Saccharomyces cerevisiae S288C: one gene and its partner. The gene in region 2 interacts genetically with the main gene of each other region. Each region holds a gene or a part of one and is shown on either strand. Other genes may lie near its edges.

Region 1 (8,430 bases), on a different chromosome or scaffold from region 2:
ACGCCCGGCTGATTTAGGTGCACATCAGCTACCCAGCATACAAAGGGGCTTCCGTACGGTTGATGGTTATTTTTCTTGGTGTGTTGGTGCTGCTGTATCGCTGGTGCTGTCTGCGTTATTACGACTATCGTAGGACAAGGCCTCGAGAGGTGTAGGGTAAATCCCACTTGCACAAAGTATGTACACACTTGATTATCCAAATACCAAGAGAGTGTGGTTCAATTTACGGGCAGCTCGAGCTGCCCGTAAATTGAACCTTCCCCTTCCCCACGCTCAAGGGGTTCCTGCGCCGGTGTTTCAGGGGCAGGACACGCGGGGATCGCTGGCACAGTATATAAACAATAAAAGAACAATGGAGAGAGGAGGCGCCATTCAATATCAGCTCACTAGAGTGCATAGACGTATAGACACAGGAATAAAGATAGAAATAGGGTACCATGGAGCTGCCTTCAATAAATAGCACCACAAGTATATCCGACAACCAGGAGTTAAGGAATTACTATGACAAGTTGCTGTTCAAGAACAATAGTGGCAAGTCGCTAGCGGATTTGCCAGGAAAAATGGCAGATTTTAACGACAACAGCGCTGCTGCGCATCCCCGCTCCAGAGTTGACTTTATCAACGGTTACATCGGTTTCAGAGAGGATAAGCAGTCTCTTCTGGGGCAGAAGAACACTAAAAGGGCCTCGTTCAGCGCATTTGCGGACGAAGGAAGGAAACAGAGCGAGATGAGCATTAACGGGAAGAGCCCTAATTTGTCTCTTTTCTCATTTGAGTTTAACGGCACCCCGACTCAGGACAGAAAGCCATACAAACAGGATTACTTGAATGTGATGAACACTTCGCCTAACAATATTCTTTCTCCCTTAAACAACAGCTCCCAAAAATACTATCCACAGAAACAGCAGCAGCAGCAGCAGCAGCAGCAGCAGCAACAGCAACAAAGCATCTTTGACCCGGGAAGAAGATCTTCCTATATTTCTGATGCGCTGATTCATGGCAATGCGGCTACCCAGCAACCACAATACTCGCAACCTGTATATATTAACAACAACCCATCTTTGCAAGTACCATACACTGCTCCTTCCGAGTATACTCAGCAGCAACAGTACTCGTCACCCTTCAATGCTAGGCGCAACACCCAGCCAGTGCTGAACTTGCATCCGGCAGCCGCTCCCACAAACGATGCCGGATTGGCGGTTGTCGACGGCAAGAATTTGACGTCATCCAAGGAGCTGCATGACTTATATCTTGACTGCGGGTCAAACTATTTTGCTAGTGATAAAGTTTATAAATTTATTGACAGCATAAAGGGAACTTTACGCGGGGATAATGTCTCCGCCTCCAGTTCCAGGATTATAGAGTTTTTGGATTTTTTGAAAAATTGTAATCTGAATTACAACCCACAGTCTGACGCATTCATCTCCACTGCTGTTTCAAACGCTTCGTCGACCGGGGCGGCCAAATCCAAGAACAGCACTTCAATGCATTTGCACTATAAGCCATTAGTGTTAGTATCGTTGAAAAATGGTAAGCTCGAACTGTTGTCTAAACCACAAACGGCCACACTTATACTGAAAAGGGGCGATTTGGTCATTATTGATGGTGATCGTGGTAAAGATTTAGTTTTGGTGGTGGAACCGGTTGTAGATATAAATTTGGCACTATTTATAAATTTTTTGAAGAAAAAAATTCACTTTGATTCTCTAATCACCAATAGTCAACAGCATTTCCCCAATGACCAGTTTATCAAGACTCTGGTTGATACAACCAATGGTAAGCCGGTCGCTCATGAGTTGAATCCGAAGTTATATGATATCATTGAACTAACGCAATTGATCATCCCATCAAAGCAGGTTCTGAGATTTGCCACCCCGTGGGAATCCTCCACGAATTTACACAACAAATTCCAGGATGAGCTAAAGGCTCTTCACATTGCACAGCTAAAACTGAGGTCGCTAAATAACAATAACTCCGGTGGCGGGTTGAACATCAAAATATTGAATGCAGAGTTCCAATTCGACAGAAAGAAATTGACTTTCTACTACATTTGCCAGGAGCGTAATGATTTCAGAGACCTGATCAAAGAACTCTTTAAGTTTTACAAAACAAGAATTTGGCTTTGTGCTATACCGAACAATTTATCGATAGATTCCAAATTTTATGATTCAAACAAGTTTGAGTGGGAGATGTATCAGGATATGATGTCCCACTATTCCATGGACAACACTGGAATTGTCGTGGCCCCTGAACTGAATCGCTTGAAACTGGACGACTTCCAGATCGGTGTTTATATGGAATTGGTGAAGGTTTTGTTCGGCTAACCCAAACTTATATAATCATTATAAACATTTTATAAACTTATACACTTTTTTAATAATCTCACCATGTTTTTCTTATGTGTTTTGTTTGACAATGACATTACTCCCTACAAACATGTGCGCGTTTGTGACAAAAACATAAATAAAACAAAAATAATAAAAAGTCAAGTGAAAAGCACTGAAATCTAAAAAATAAATACATATACATATATATATATATATACCTATTTCGTTTCCGCATAGAAGAAATTGGAGGCAACTAGTTGCAGGTTGTTTTCCTTAGCCCATTTGCCAACACCGGTGGCAGGGGTGCCGTAACCCCAGTTCGGTCTATCCTTAATTTTCGAGAACTTAGATGAGTCCACGCCCTTAGGCTGCTTATATAACAAGAAAACATATCTGTGGGGACCGGATCCCTTGGGTGGAGCTGGTCCCATATATTCTATTAGTGTGTTCGAGCCCTTCGTATTGAACTCTGATGCAAAAAATTCGGTTGCTCCGGAGGTCTCGTGAGTAGCCTCATTCAACAGCTTTAAGTCGCATTCTACCAAGTGGCAGAATTCAGACCACTTGTGATCTGTCTTAGAGGGAGCATCCGGATCGGTCATTACCAGTGTGAACAAATCGTCGTCTTGGGGAACGTACGCATTCGCCTGTGGTACGCTTTTTTGCATTTGCTTATTGAACGTGAACTGGAATTGGGGCTTGGAACGTGCCTTCTCAGTGGGCAGCGTGTTACCCATGGCAACAGGTGCACTTGATGAGTACTCTACGGCAAGTATCCCGGAGGGTTGAAAGCTTGTGTCATGAATTACATCCTCCAGAATGCCGTGCTTCTTGTAGGAGTCAATGCTTGCTTGTGCGAAGTCTATTGCTTGGTTCATGTTTTTTGCTTGTTCTCTTGTTCTTGTATTGATGCACTGGTAGGGAAAAGGAGCACTGCAATTCGTTTCTTGCTGCCCCCTTTTTATATACCAATTGAGATCTTTCCTTCCCTGAACAGCCCCTCTATCCCTTAAAAGATAGAAAAGTTCAAAGGGATAGGAAAAATCAACGAGCCAAAAAAAAAAAAAACGGAACCGTTCGGCATGTATATATTCACTATTTCATATACGCGTTTGCACAATATACTCTATCTTATCCGTATCTATACGAGCCGGTTGCTGCACCTTACATGTCATAGTTGAAATCAACGGTCGTGTTTTCGACCATGTAATAATTGGCACCGACCAGTTGCAGATTGTTCTCCTTGATATAGTCATAGGCACCCGCACCAGGAGTACCGTACCCCCAGGAGATAATGTTCTCAACCTTGGTAAAAGTGGACGAATCCGCTCCCTTGGGTTGCTTGCACAGGAAGAACACGTATCTGTGATAACCGGAGTTCTTTGGTGGACCAGGCCCAATATAGTTATTTCTCACGACACCCTTCCCCGAAATGGCAATATCTCCCCCAGGTCCGTACTCGACAGGAATATCAGTGATGATGTAGTGACAAACCTCCGACCACTTATGTTCTGTTCTAGAGGGCGCGTCCGGGTCAGTCATCAACAAAGCGAGTTTATCCTCGGCTGACAATTGGCTTTTATCGAAGGGCGTGAACTTGATGGTAGGAGCGGCTTGCGTAGCTTCCATTGGCATGGGATTGCCCAATTTGATGTCGTCAGAATCAACGTACGAAACCGACAACTCACCAAGAATCTCGAACGCCAAGTCCTTGACGGTGTCCTTAATGATGTCCTCTTTGTTCAGTTTAGCAACGATGGCACTAGACATAATATATATTTCTATTACTAAGTACTCGGATGGGTACCGAAAGTGGCAGATGGGCAGTGTTTACTCAAACAATTGATGGCAACATTCAATTCCTCACCTGGTGCGCACTTCCAATAATGAGCACGCTTGGCACTTTTATATTGTTCAAAAAAATGTCAGGCAAGATCTTTTGAAAAAAAGGTACCGAAACGGACGTAAGACGGAAATAGAATTTGAAGATAAAGTTATATATCACTACACACGAATACTTTCTTTTTTTTTTTTCACAGGAAAACTGTGGTGGCGCCCTTGCCTACTAGTGCATTTCTTTTTTCGGGTTCTTGTCTCGAGGAAATTTTAGCCTCATCGTAGTTTTTCACTCTGGTATCGATGAAAAAGGGAAGAGTAAAAAGTTTTCCGTTTAGTACTTAATGGGATTGGTTTGGGACGTATATATCGACTGGTGTTGTCTGTTATTCATCGTTGTTTTTCGGTTAGCTTCGAAAAAAAAATAGAGTAAAAACCAGGAATTTACCCTAAAAACAAGAAAAAATAAGATAAACGAAAATATGGCCGGTACATTTTTATTCACTTCTGAATCCGTTGGTGAAGGTCACCCAGATAAGATCTGTGACCAAGTTTCCGACGCCATCTTGGACGCTTGTTTAGCCGAGGACCCTCACTCCAAAGTTGCGTGTGAAACCGCGGCAAAGACTGGTATGATTATGGTCTTTGGTGAAATTACTACCAAGGCACAGTTGGATTACCAAAAAATCGTCAGAGACACCATCAAGAAGATTGGTTACGATGATTCCGCCAAGGGTTTCGACTATAAGACCTGTAACGTCCTTGTCGCCATTGAGCAACAATCTCCAGATATCGCCCAAGGTGTCCACGAGGAGAAGGATTTGGAAGACATCGGTGCCGGTGACCAAGGTATCATGTTTGGTTACGCCACAGATGAAACTCCAGAGGGTTTGCCTTTGACTATTCTTTTGGCTCATAAACTAAACATGGCCATGGCTGACGCGAGAAGAGATGGCTCTTTAGCGTGGTTGAGACCAGACACCAAGACTCAAGTCACCGTCGAATACAAGGATGACCACGGTAGATGGGTTCCACAAAGAATCGACACCGTCGTCGTCTCCGCTCAACATGCTGACGAAATCACGACCGAGGACTTAAGAGCGCAACTAAAGTCCGAGATCATTGAAAAAGTCATCCCAAGAGACATGTTGGACGAAAACACCAAATACTTTATCCAACCTTCCGGTAGATTCGTCATCGGTGGTCCTCAAGGTGACGCTGGTTTGACCGGTAGAAAGATCATCGTCGACGCTTACGGTGGTGCCTCATCCGTCGGTGGTGGTGCCTTCTCCGGTAAGGACTACTCTAAGGTTGATCGTTCTGCCGCTTATGCCGCTAGATGGGTTGCCAAGTCCCTAGTTGCCGCTGGTTTATGTAAGAGAGTTCAAGTTCAATTTTCTTATGCCATCGGTATTGCGGAACCATTGTCCTTGCACGTTGACACCTATGGTACTGCGACCAAGTCTGACGAAGAAATTATCGACATTATCAGCAAGAACTTTGACTTGAGACCTGGTGTATTGGTCAAGGAGTTGGACTTAGCTAGACCAATCTACTTGCCAACCGCTTCTTATGGCCATTTCACAAACCAAGAATACCCATGGGAAAAGCCTAAGACTTTGAAGTTCTAAGCTTTTTTCCTTTTGGACTTTTTTCTGCCTTCAACCTCCCATGTTTTCATTTGCTCAACACAAGTCAACATGTACATTATACCGTATTTGATGCAGGGACGCAATACCATCATATTCTTGATATAGACTCATTTTTCTCAAATCAAATTTGTATCGATTTCATTTTGCATTATACAGGATTCCTTTTCCTTTCTAACATTTAATACGTAACTACTAATATTAATATATACCTCCTTCAACGGATCAACAAACCAAACTTTATCTTATTCAAATAGAATTTAACAGATCCAACGCCTTAGTTAACTCATCTTTGGCGGTGGGCAGGTCTTCATAATTCAATGCGCTTATGGCGTATTTGGCAAGTTTTTGAATTTGCTCTATTTTACTGGCCCTGTCCATAATTTTTGTCAACTCATCCTTTGTATACGATTTATGCTCTGCTGCAGCAGGTTCTGATGGTGCAGAAGGGCGCGTAAGATCCACTTCTTTCTTCACAACTTGTTGTTCGTCTTTTGTTATTGCATCTTCGTTCTTGTCGACGGTCTGTTCTTCTTCGTTTACGCTATCGGCATCATCAATAAATTCAGGTACCTCATCCACAGGCTCGTATGATGTTGTTTGGTCTTTTGGGGCTAGGCCTTCGACTTTATCATTATTATTGTTTTCCAAATCGCTTGTCTGGTGATCAACATCTTCATCCTTAATCTCCTCGCTATCATCCGCAAAATCTGCATAATCTAACGTTTTCTCGTCGCTGGAACCAATTTCACCCTTTGCCAATTTACTCAAATAAATTTTGCAATACTTAATTCGTTTTTGTAATGAATTTGTACTCGTTTCACTTATATTTTCCTTCCACAGGTGTAAAATGCATGAAAATAAATCAATACAACACCAAAGTGATCTTTTTAACATAACATCCCAGGGACCATCTTTTAGCTGTTTCAGTTTCTCGTTATACAACGACATTGTAAAATTTAGCATATAAATTTTGGCTTTTTCTTGATCATGTATTAGCGTGTTCATAACGTGTAAGCTTTTGTCACTGTCTTCTGCTTCACTCTCGCCGCCAATCTCCTTCTTAAACGCTTCAATAGTATCAAGAAGTTCTGTCGCTAGTGCGGTCATCTCTTGCGACCGATCTTCTTCACTCAGTATCAATTCCACCGCATATAACTGAAGATAGTATCCGATGATCCCTAACCCAACTTTGTCAAAATCCTTCGCTGTAGCGACAACCCTTGCAGCGTTACTAGCCATAGAATTTATTTAAAATGTGGACAATTAGTTTCTAAAAATTGAATCAAATAAAATAAGAAAGCTTATTGTTCCTTTTTTTGTCTTCATCTGGACCGTTTGGATAAGATCATTCACCAAATCTTAGTTTTTTTTTTTAGTTTCCTTCTCCAACGATTTCATAATAATAAAAAAAAACAACAAAAAACACGATTGAGAAACATCAATATGAACTAAGCAATAGCTAAAAAAAAAAGAATAATAAAGGGGAACACAGTATAATTCTCGAGAGGATGGCGTTGGAAGAAGTGGTACGATACTTAGGACCTCACAATGAGATCCCTTTGACACTCACTAGAGACTCGGAGACTGGCCATTTCCTCCTGAAACATTTTCTGCCCATTTTGCAGCAATATCATGACACGGGGAATATTAACGAGACCAACCCCGATAGTTTCCCCACTGATGAGGAAAGAAATAAATTACTGGCACATTATGGAATTGCTGTAAATACAGACGACCGAGGTGAGTTATGGATAGAGCTGGAAAAATGTTTACAATTATTAAACATGCTAAATTTATTCGGTTTGTTCCAGGATGCATTCGAATTTGAGGAGCCTGAAACAGATCAGGATGAAGAAGATCCCAGCCATTCGAAACTACCAGAAAACAAGACCAAAAGTGAAAATTCTAAGGATAATATCAGCTCAAAGAGGATTAATAATTTACAAGATATGAGCCTGGATTCTGATGCACACAGAGAATTAGGCTCTCCTTTAAAAAAACTAAAAATAGATACCTCTGTAATAGATGCTGAGAGTGACTCCACTCCGAATACTGCCAGAGGCAAGCCTAACGATGATATTAATAAGGGCCCTAGCGGCGACAATGAAAATAATGGCACTGATGACAATGACAGAACCGCTGGACCTATCATAACATTCACTCATGACCTAACTTCTGACTTTTTAAGCAGTCCACTGAAAATCATGAAAGCACTACCTTCTCCAGTTGTAAATGATAATGAACAGAAGATGAAACTAGAGGCATTCTTACAACGGTTGTTATTTCCAGAAATTCAAGAAATGCCTACATCCCTTAATAATGACAGCAGTAATAGAAATTCAGAAGGGGGGAGCTCAAACCAACAACAACAGCACGTATCATTTGATAGCCTTTTGCAAGAGGTAAACGACGCTTTTCCTAATACTCAATTAAATCTTAATATTCCTGTAGATGAGCATGGAAACACACCATTACATTGGCTGACTTCAATAGCAAACCTGGAATTAGTGAAACACCTGGTTAAGCATGGTTCAAACAGATTATATGGTGATAATATGGGGGAGTCATGCCTAGTGAAAGCTGTCAAATCAGTAAATAATTACGACTCTGGTACT
Region 2 (8,351 bases):
CAACAAGTTACACTACTGTGTTTCTTGTGCTATTCACGCCAGAATTGTCAGAGTCAGATCCAGAGAAGACAGAAAGAACAGAGCTCCACCTCAAAGACCAAGATTCAACAGAGAAAACAAGGTTTCCCCTGCTGATGCCGCCAAGAAGGCTTTATAACTTGATTAATATAGGTGAAACATAAGTAAATTTTTCTACTATTTCTAATCAATAAAAAATAACCATTACAATAGTTTTCTATTAAATATGTTAATGTTTCAAGTATGTTCAACATCAAATATTACTATCGTCACCTTCCACGAATATAATTTGATACGAAGTATAATTTTTTTGATTTTTTTTTCGCCTCCCTTTCTTCCCTTTAATGAGATATTGAAAAAAACTGTCTGAAGTTAATTATTAACTATGAGCGGAATGCTATCTGTATATATTGCATTGGGTTAGACAATAATCGTTTTACTCAGATTTATATCAGATAGGAAAACGACCAGTAACTATTTCTATTCCGGCACGGCATAAACGTTTTTTTTTTGAGACAATTGGCATATACTCCCCCCGCGCACGTCAATAGATCCTTAACTAAGTAGATTTTTTTTGTTTTTTTCCTTCCTTTTTTCTCTTTTCCATCCAATTTTGCCTAACATTTCCCGTCAAAGATAAAGGGAGTTTGCACAAGACAAGACTATTACGTTAGAGAACTTTCCACGAAGAGACTGGAAGAATTGAAAATTGAATATACAAACGCATTCTAGAAGAATTCGATTACGTCAATTAGGCTCTCTTCTATATTTTAGTTCACCCTTTTTTCGTCCTGTTTCGATTTTTATTCCTATCAGAGGGTGAATAAGGCAGCTTAATACGATTACCCCCACTCCACCAACATATTAAGAAAGGGAAAACTAGTGTTTCTATAAACTGTAAACCTCATAAAATCTAGCCAACATATCGAGGTCAAACTGGAGAGATCTTACGCATAAAGAAATATAATATAGCGCACAATGGCACAAAACAATTTTGATTTTAAATTCAGCCAATGTTTTGGTGATAAAGCAGATATTGTGGTGACAGAGGCGGATCTAATTACAGCTGTAGAATTTGACTATACTGGAAATTATCTGGCCACTGGTGATAAAGGTGGCCGTGTGGTACTTTTTGAAAGAAGTAATAGTAGACATTGCGAATATAAGTTTTTAACAGAGTTTCAAAGTCATGACGCAGAATTTGATTATTTAAAATCCTTAGAAATTGAAGAGAAGATAAATGAAATCAAATGGTTACGACCAACTCAAAGATCACACTTTCTTTTGAGCACAAATGATAAAACTATAAAACTTTGGAAAGTTTATGAGAAAAATATAAAATTGGTAAGCCAGAACAACTTAACAGAAGGGGTTACGTTTGCGAAAAAAGGCAAGCCCGATAACCATAACAGTAGAGGAGGCTCCGTGAGGGCTGTATTATCTTTACAATCGCTGAAACTGCCTCAATTATCACAGCATGACAAAATCATTGCTGCCACCCCAAAGCGTATATATAGTAATGCACATACCTATCACATTAATTCGATATCGTTGAATTCTGATCAGGAAACATTTTTAAGTGCTGACGACTTGAGAATCAATTTATGGAATCTGGACATACCAGATCAGAGCTTCAACATCGTAGATATCAAGCCAACCAATATGGAAGAACTTACCGAAGTGATCACAAGCGCTGAATTTCATCCGCAAGAATGTAATTTATTCATGTACTCTTCTTCCAAAGGTACAATAAAGTTGTGTGATATGAGACAAAATTCCCTATGTGACAATAAAACCAAAACATTTGAAGAATATTTGGATCCAATCAATCATAATTTTTTTACAGAAATCACGTCGTCAATTTCCGACATAAAATTTAGTCCAAATGGTAGGTATATTGCATCCAGAGATTATTTAACTGTCAAAATTTGGGACGTAAATATGGATAATAAGCCTTTGAAAACCATAAACATACATGAGCAATTGAAGGAAAGATTGAGTGATACCTATGAAAACGATGCGATTTTCGATAAATTTGAAGTTAATTTTAGTGGTGATAGTTCAAGTGTAATGACTGGTTCTTACAATAACAATTTCATGATCTATCCTAATGTAGTAACTTCTGGTGATAATGATAATGGCATAGTCAAAACTTTTGATGAACACAACGCACCTAATAGCAACAGCAATAAAAATATCCACAACAGCATACAAAATAAAGATTCTAGTAGTAGTGGCAACAGCCACAAGCGTAGGAGTAACGGACGCAACACAGGCATGGTGGGAAGTAGTAATAGCTCTAGAAGCAGTATAGCGGGAGGAGAAGGAGCAAATTCGGAGGACTCGGGAACCGAAATGAATGAAATCGTGTTACAAGCTGACAAAACAGCGTTCAGGAACAAAAGATACGGTTCGCTAGCGCAAAGGTCTGCAAGAAATAAGGATTGGGGTGACGATATTGATTTCAAGAAGAATATTTTACATTTCTCATGGCATCCAAGAGAAAATAGTATTGCTGTTGCAGCAACTAATAATTTATTCATTTTTTCCGCATTATAATTATAATAATTCCTTATTTTCCCTTACTTTTTTTTATCCCATATCTTCCCCACATACTACTACTGTTTTAATTGAAATTTAAATTGAACTTGAATTCAAATTTTTTAGATTTAGATTTGCCCCTCATTGAAAATCTTTCTATCTTTATTTTTTTATTTTATCTTCTCTACTTATATTTTTATTCTACTTCAAGCGTGTTTTATTATCATTATTCTGAGACTTATACCATTTTCTTTCGTTTTTTTTCTGATTAGCTATCTTATAAACACTGTATCAATTATTAATCCGACATCCCTTTATCAGGACTTCTTTCATCACTTCACCAAAACGCGTGGAACATAAAAATAAAACGTCTTAAATTCTTCTTCATAGGTGCATGTTTATGTTTTTAAATGCTTATACATTTGCAATATAATTATATATATATAGATGTTTAAGAACGGAATGATGCTTCGCCGCCCAAAATACCTAGTACCTTTAGTTCCTATCAAAGGATTAATCTTTTTTTATTTTGAATTTTTTTTATCGAATATAAAAGAAATAAGTAAGAATTAGTAAAATTATCATAAATAAAAATTTTTCGAAAAGTTTATTCTCACTTAATCAATTAATTAATCGTCGTGCTCGATGTGCCTGTTGACAACAGGATTCCAGAATAATGTCTTATCACCGTCACCCCAGAAAAAAGGCTTAGACCTGATATTCATAAACTCGTAATCCCTTGGCCATTCGGAGTCTGGCACATGTTTCAAATGTTCACGATGCTCAGCATGCTCCTTTTCAACAAAGTATGTGTTCACAGCTGTTAAAGCAATTGCTGGTAGGGCGACCCAAACTGAGATTTTAACCCACATATTAGATGTGTCCTTCGCATGCTTTTCAGTGGCCATTAATGATTCTTTAAATTTTTGAGCTGCCACTTTATCTGGTGGGCCAAATGCAGGTTTCAAAGCATTTGGGGGTAATGAAGATGCATATCTCTTAGCACACTGTCTAAACATTTTTCTATTGTTTGTTATTTGTATAACTGTAGAACTGTAGTAATATGATTTTAAATCTAGATAAAACACATGCGATGTGTAGTGAAAACGTTCAAGGCAACGTGTATGTTTGTTATATTTAATGTATCCCGTCACTCATCGTGATCACATCCCAGCTGGGGGTTATTTTTCGATTCTCTTAGACCGATACTCCCAGTACCGCCTCTCATTGGTGGGAAAAAAAATTACCCGAAATTACTATATTGTGTCAATACCGCACCATATCACTACATTCATAGCGGTATAATCGAAAGGATAGCGGCGTTGGGTTACTACTATCGTCTACCTATTCAGCAGGATAGCTTACTCTGTATTAGCAAATAATAGTCGTTCTTCGCTATTCCCACAGTTTCCAGTAAGAACGATTGGAGTAGAAAAAAAGAATGGTAGAATGCGCCATGGGAAAGAACCGACCAAGAGTGGGAGCAAATAAGTCAAGTAATTACATTAGTAGTGTTTAATGGTTGAAAATATGGCCAGAACTAGTATTAGCTTTCTCCAGGCGACAACAATTTTTAAACATCCGGGTAATAAATTGTTCCAGTTGATGTAAAAAAATACACGGACTCGGATAATAATTATTGGACATAAACCATATCCTTCTCTATTCCAAAGTTTGTCTAATACAGACCAGGAAACCATTTACTTCCCGCTGCAGTCTTTTTTATGACCATCTTTTTTATGCAATGCTATTAATGTTTAAAAGGATTATTTAACGCTTTACTGAGCAAAATATAGGTTATTTAGTGTTTGGAATTGTTGTTTTTGTTGCTGTTTGGATTCAAAGGGAGTATGTTTTTGATTCATAGGATTCTGCTTGGCCTCAGCATAATACTTACCACTCCCCATATCCATATTATTCCAATACTGCTGCTGATGCTGCTGCTGTAATTTTGAAGGTTGCTTTTTGTCGATTTTTTTAGTACCAGTGTGGCTGGTTCCAGTTTTGCTCTTCATAAACTCCTGGTACTTCCTCTCGACATCCATTTCGTAAATGCAATTTCCTGTCAACTGGTTTCCGATGGTAAACCAGCCAGGCCGCGTATTGTGATCCCTTCCGAATATCTCTAGTTTTCTGGCATGGGTGCCTGCCAACCGTTCTGCTATACCATACAGTTCATCAGGCTTTCTACTAGTCTCTCTGGTCATTGATACGATCAAATCGACGTCAATATGTTTGTTGATCCACTTTGGATTACCCTTTAAGCCCACCAATAAATGCTCCTTAGAATGATTTAACCAATGACCCGTACGACCTGTAACAATTGTTCTACCCAGTTGGTTTGTCTTTATCCATGAAACTTCATTTATCACGTTGTAACCCCAGTTATTCAAAGACTCTTTACCCAATTCTATAGCTCTACCCGTCACCCAAAGAAAAATAATACCTTCATCTTGTAGTTCGTGCAAAGGCAAACCTAATAGTTCAATATCGTTGCAAGTACCGTATGGTAGGTTCATATGGATATTCCATGCAGGATCTGCAATAACTACCGAAAACTTTCCAAGAACCCTAAAATCAAATTTCCGCACATCGCAACGGATCCACTGTGCAGGTAAAGCCTTTTTGATACAATGTGCGGAGCAATTGCCCAGAGTATAAAATGGAATGGAAACGTTTGACCGTATTCTTTTATTTTCACTCGCAGTTTCACGATCAGCTCGCTCTTGCAAGCATGACGGAATATATTGCAGGTAATGAATGTATCGACACGTATTTAATTTATGACAGGTATCCAAATAGGAACAATCTCCTAACGAAATATCAGTTTGTGGTTTGATATTAGGGATAAAGTGAATTTTTGATTGAATGCACTCAATTAATCCTGGGTGATTTTCCTGACATGCGGATATTTTGGACCATTGTAAAGAAACGATTTTGTTATTGACAATGTACACCGAGGTGGACAATAGAGATGCATGCGAATAGTCACTACATATCGGGATGTATTCAATGACCTCGGTCGTGTATTTGGCTCTTTCTTTAGCAAGCTGAAAAGATGATGGTTTTTCCCTCAATAAATTTTGTAAGCGATTGCTCAGTTGTTCACGTGGTAACCCCTGGTTGCTGACGTTAACGTCCCAGTTCAGGACTCCAAGCAGTCTACCCAGCAGTTGGTCTTTTTCCGAATCAGCTTCCGGTTTTGTTGTTAAACTCGACACTTTTTCTTCACATGAAGAACTGGACGATTTTAATGTATAGTAGAAGGCATGGAACTTGTTATAGAGAATTTTCAAGGAAAAAACGTCCAGGTAAACAATTTTTTCTGGCCTATCTGCCACTAATAGATTCTGGTCAAATTGAATGGACTGCGGCGTTGCAAATATAATATCCTGAAGATCATTCCAAAACTGTTCAAACTGTAAGACCTCGTCTTTATCGTTTCTCAACTTCTGCATCTCATCATCGTATCCGCCACTGATGTACAGTGAATACACATCTTTGAGCTGTCCAGAAAGCGGTGCTCTTAGGATGTCATCATAATTCTGGATCAGAAAATGTACTAGTTTATCGTTAATCATAGCCTGCTTACAACTTTTATGAATTCAAGTCTGAATGCCAATTCTTATTTTTTTCGAAAACCCCCAATGCTAACTTATATGGTCCGTTTTCTTTACTGTTATCCATCTCCCTTTCCTATAGCTCCAGCGGTTACCGATCTTCCAGAATGCCGGGGAGATCTTTCTCTTTCTTTGTTTATAACAAGTTTCACAAGCACGAAAGAAAGAACAATACTGTACGCCAAAAGCCGCCTAAAGACGCATATTCCCGTCAATTTATGTGACCGGTACCACTATATACCTAAGGCACCTCTATACCAATGTAGAATGCCCTGTTTATACTCTATATAGAGGATTCTCGATGTTCTTTGGGGCATCGTTAAACGTGATATTCCTACTATGTTACTAAATGTTGAACTGAAAGCATCTTGAAACGATTCTAATCAGTTTTAGGTGTGTCGCCAATGTACAGTTATAGAAAAGACGCCAGATTACTCAAGTACGTTAAAATCAGGTATCAAGTGAATAACAACACGCAACATGTCTGGAACATTTAGTTATGATGTGAAAACAAAGGAGAACGAACCATTATTTGAGTTTAATTCTGCTTATTCTCCCAGGGTATCGTATCATTTTAACTCCAAAGTTTCACATTACCATTATGGTGTTAAGCATCCAATGAAGCCGTTTCGGTTAATGCTAACGGATCACCTAGTTTCCTCTTATGGATTGCACAAGATTATGGACCTTTATGAAACAAGAAGCGCTACCAGAGACGAATTACTACAATTTCACTCGGAAGACTACGTGAATTTTCTCTCGAAGGTTTCACCAGAAAATGCAAACAAACTGCCCAGAGGCACACTTGAAAATTTTAACATTGGAGACGACTGTCCTATTTTTCAAAATTTATATGATTATACAACACTATACACTGGTGCGAGCCTTGACGCCACCAGGAAACTAATCAACAATCAATCGGACATAGCGATAAATTGGTCTGGTGGTCTTCATCATGCAAAAAAGAATAGTCCATCTGGGTTTTGCTATGTAAATGATATTGTGCTTTCTATTTTGAACTTATTACGATATCACCCAAGAATCCTTTATATCGATATCGACTTACATCACGGCGATGGTGTCCAGGAGGCATTTTACACCACAGATAGGGTCTTCACGTTGTCTTTTCATAAATATAATGGCGAATTTTTCCCAGGAACTGGTGATCTGACAGAAATTGGTTGCGACAAAGGAAAACATTTCGCATTAAATGTACCCCTAGAAGATGGCATAGATGACGACTCATATATAAACCTTTTCAAGTCAATTGTAGATCCTCTAATAATGACTTTCAAACCAACACTTATTGTCCAACAATGCGGTGCGGATTCCTTAGGTCATGATCGCTTAGGATGCTTCAATTTAAATATAAAGGCACATGGAGAATGCGTAAAATTTGTCAAATCATTTGGTCTACCAATGCTAGTAGTGGGCGGTGGAGGTTATACACCTAGAAATGTATCACGGCTTTGGACCTACGAGACAGGAATTTTAAATGATGTCTTGCTACCAGAAGACATCCCCGAAGATATCCCATTCCGGGACTCATTCGGGCCGGATTATTCACTTTATCCTATGTTAGATGACTTATACGAAAACAAAAACAGTAAAAAACTACTGGAAGACATTAGAATACGATGTCTAGAAAATATCAGATACTTGCAAGGAGCACCAAGTGTCAGAATGGATGCTGAATGCATACCGACACAAGATATAAGTGCCCTGACAGAAGAAGAGGATAAAATCATTCAAGAAATGAATGAAGAAACAGAAGCAGACAGTTCAAATAGGCTAGAAGAAATGGAAAAAGAAAACAGTGGATTGATTGCCTTTTCATAGTTTAAGAGTTTGCTATTCGGTTAATCTCCCGTTTTTTTTTTTTTTTTTTTTTTTATTTTCCTTTTTTTTTTTTTAATGTTTTTAGCATATTATGTAGAGTGTTAAGGCCTTAAAAGTTATTTGCATCATTGTTAAAAATGACATGTATTGTATAAGAGTTCGGCTCTTCGATGCCGTCAGAAACATTTTTGGAAGGTGCACTCCGTATTCGAGACACTTCTGAAACGGACAAGTCACCAAACTACTCTGAAAACAACAAAAAAAAGCCTTTTCTTATAATTTGAAAGCTTCTCCCGCAGCATTATCGATATCGTGAAACTTCCAAAATCTTTC

What was found.
Region 1: mutations in COX13 (region 2) and TFS1 together harm fitness more than expected from each alone (negative genetic interaction), as found in Saccharomyces cerevisiae (one large-scale study listed by BioGRID).

Annotation. Positions count from the first base shown.
Region 1 is NC_001144.5:510,617-519,046, forward strand, and holds TFS1 (Tfs1p), read right to left. Parts: upstream 3,206-8,430; coding exon 2,546-3,205; downstream 1-2,545. Other genes in the region: YLR177W (uncharacterized protein), read left to right, coding at 438-2,324; YLR179C (uncharacterized protein), read right to left, coding at 3,492-4,097; methionine adenosyltransferase SAM1, read left to right, coding at 4,646-5,794; VTA1 (Vta1p), read right to left, coding at 6,062-7,054; transcriptional regulator SWI6, read left to right, coding at 7,324-8,430. UniProt on the Saccharomyces cerevisiae protein: Specific and potent inhibitor of carboxypeptidase Y.
Region 2 is NC_001139.9:140,035-148,385, reverse strand, and holds COX13 (cytochrome c oxidase subunit VIa), read right to left. Parts: upstream 3,579-8,351; coding exon 3,189-3,578; downstream 1-3,188. Other genes in the region: 40S ribosomal protein eS26 RPS26A, read left to right, coding at 1-157; protein phosphatase 2A regulatory subunit CDC55, read left to right, coding at 997-2,577; IME4 (mRNA (N6-adenosine)-methyltransferase), read right to left, coding at 4,338-6,140; YGL193C (uncharacterized protein), read left to right, coding at 6,159-6,470; histone deacetylase HOS2, read left to right, coding at 6,660-8,018. UniProt on the Saccharomyces cerevisiae protein: Component of the cytochrome c oxidase, the last enzyme in the mitochondrial electron transport chain which drives oxidative phosphorylation.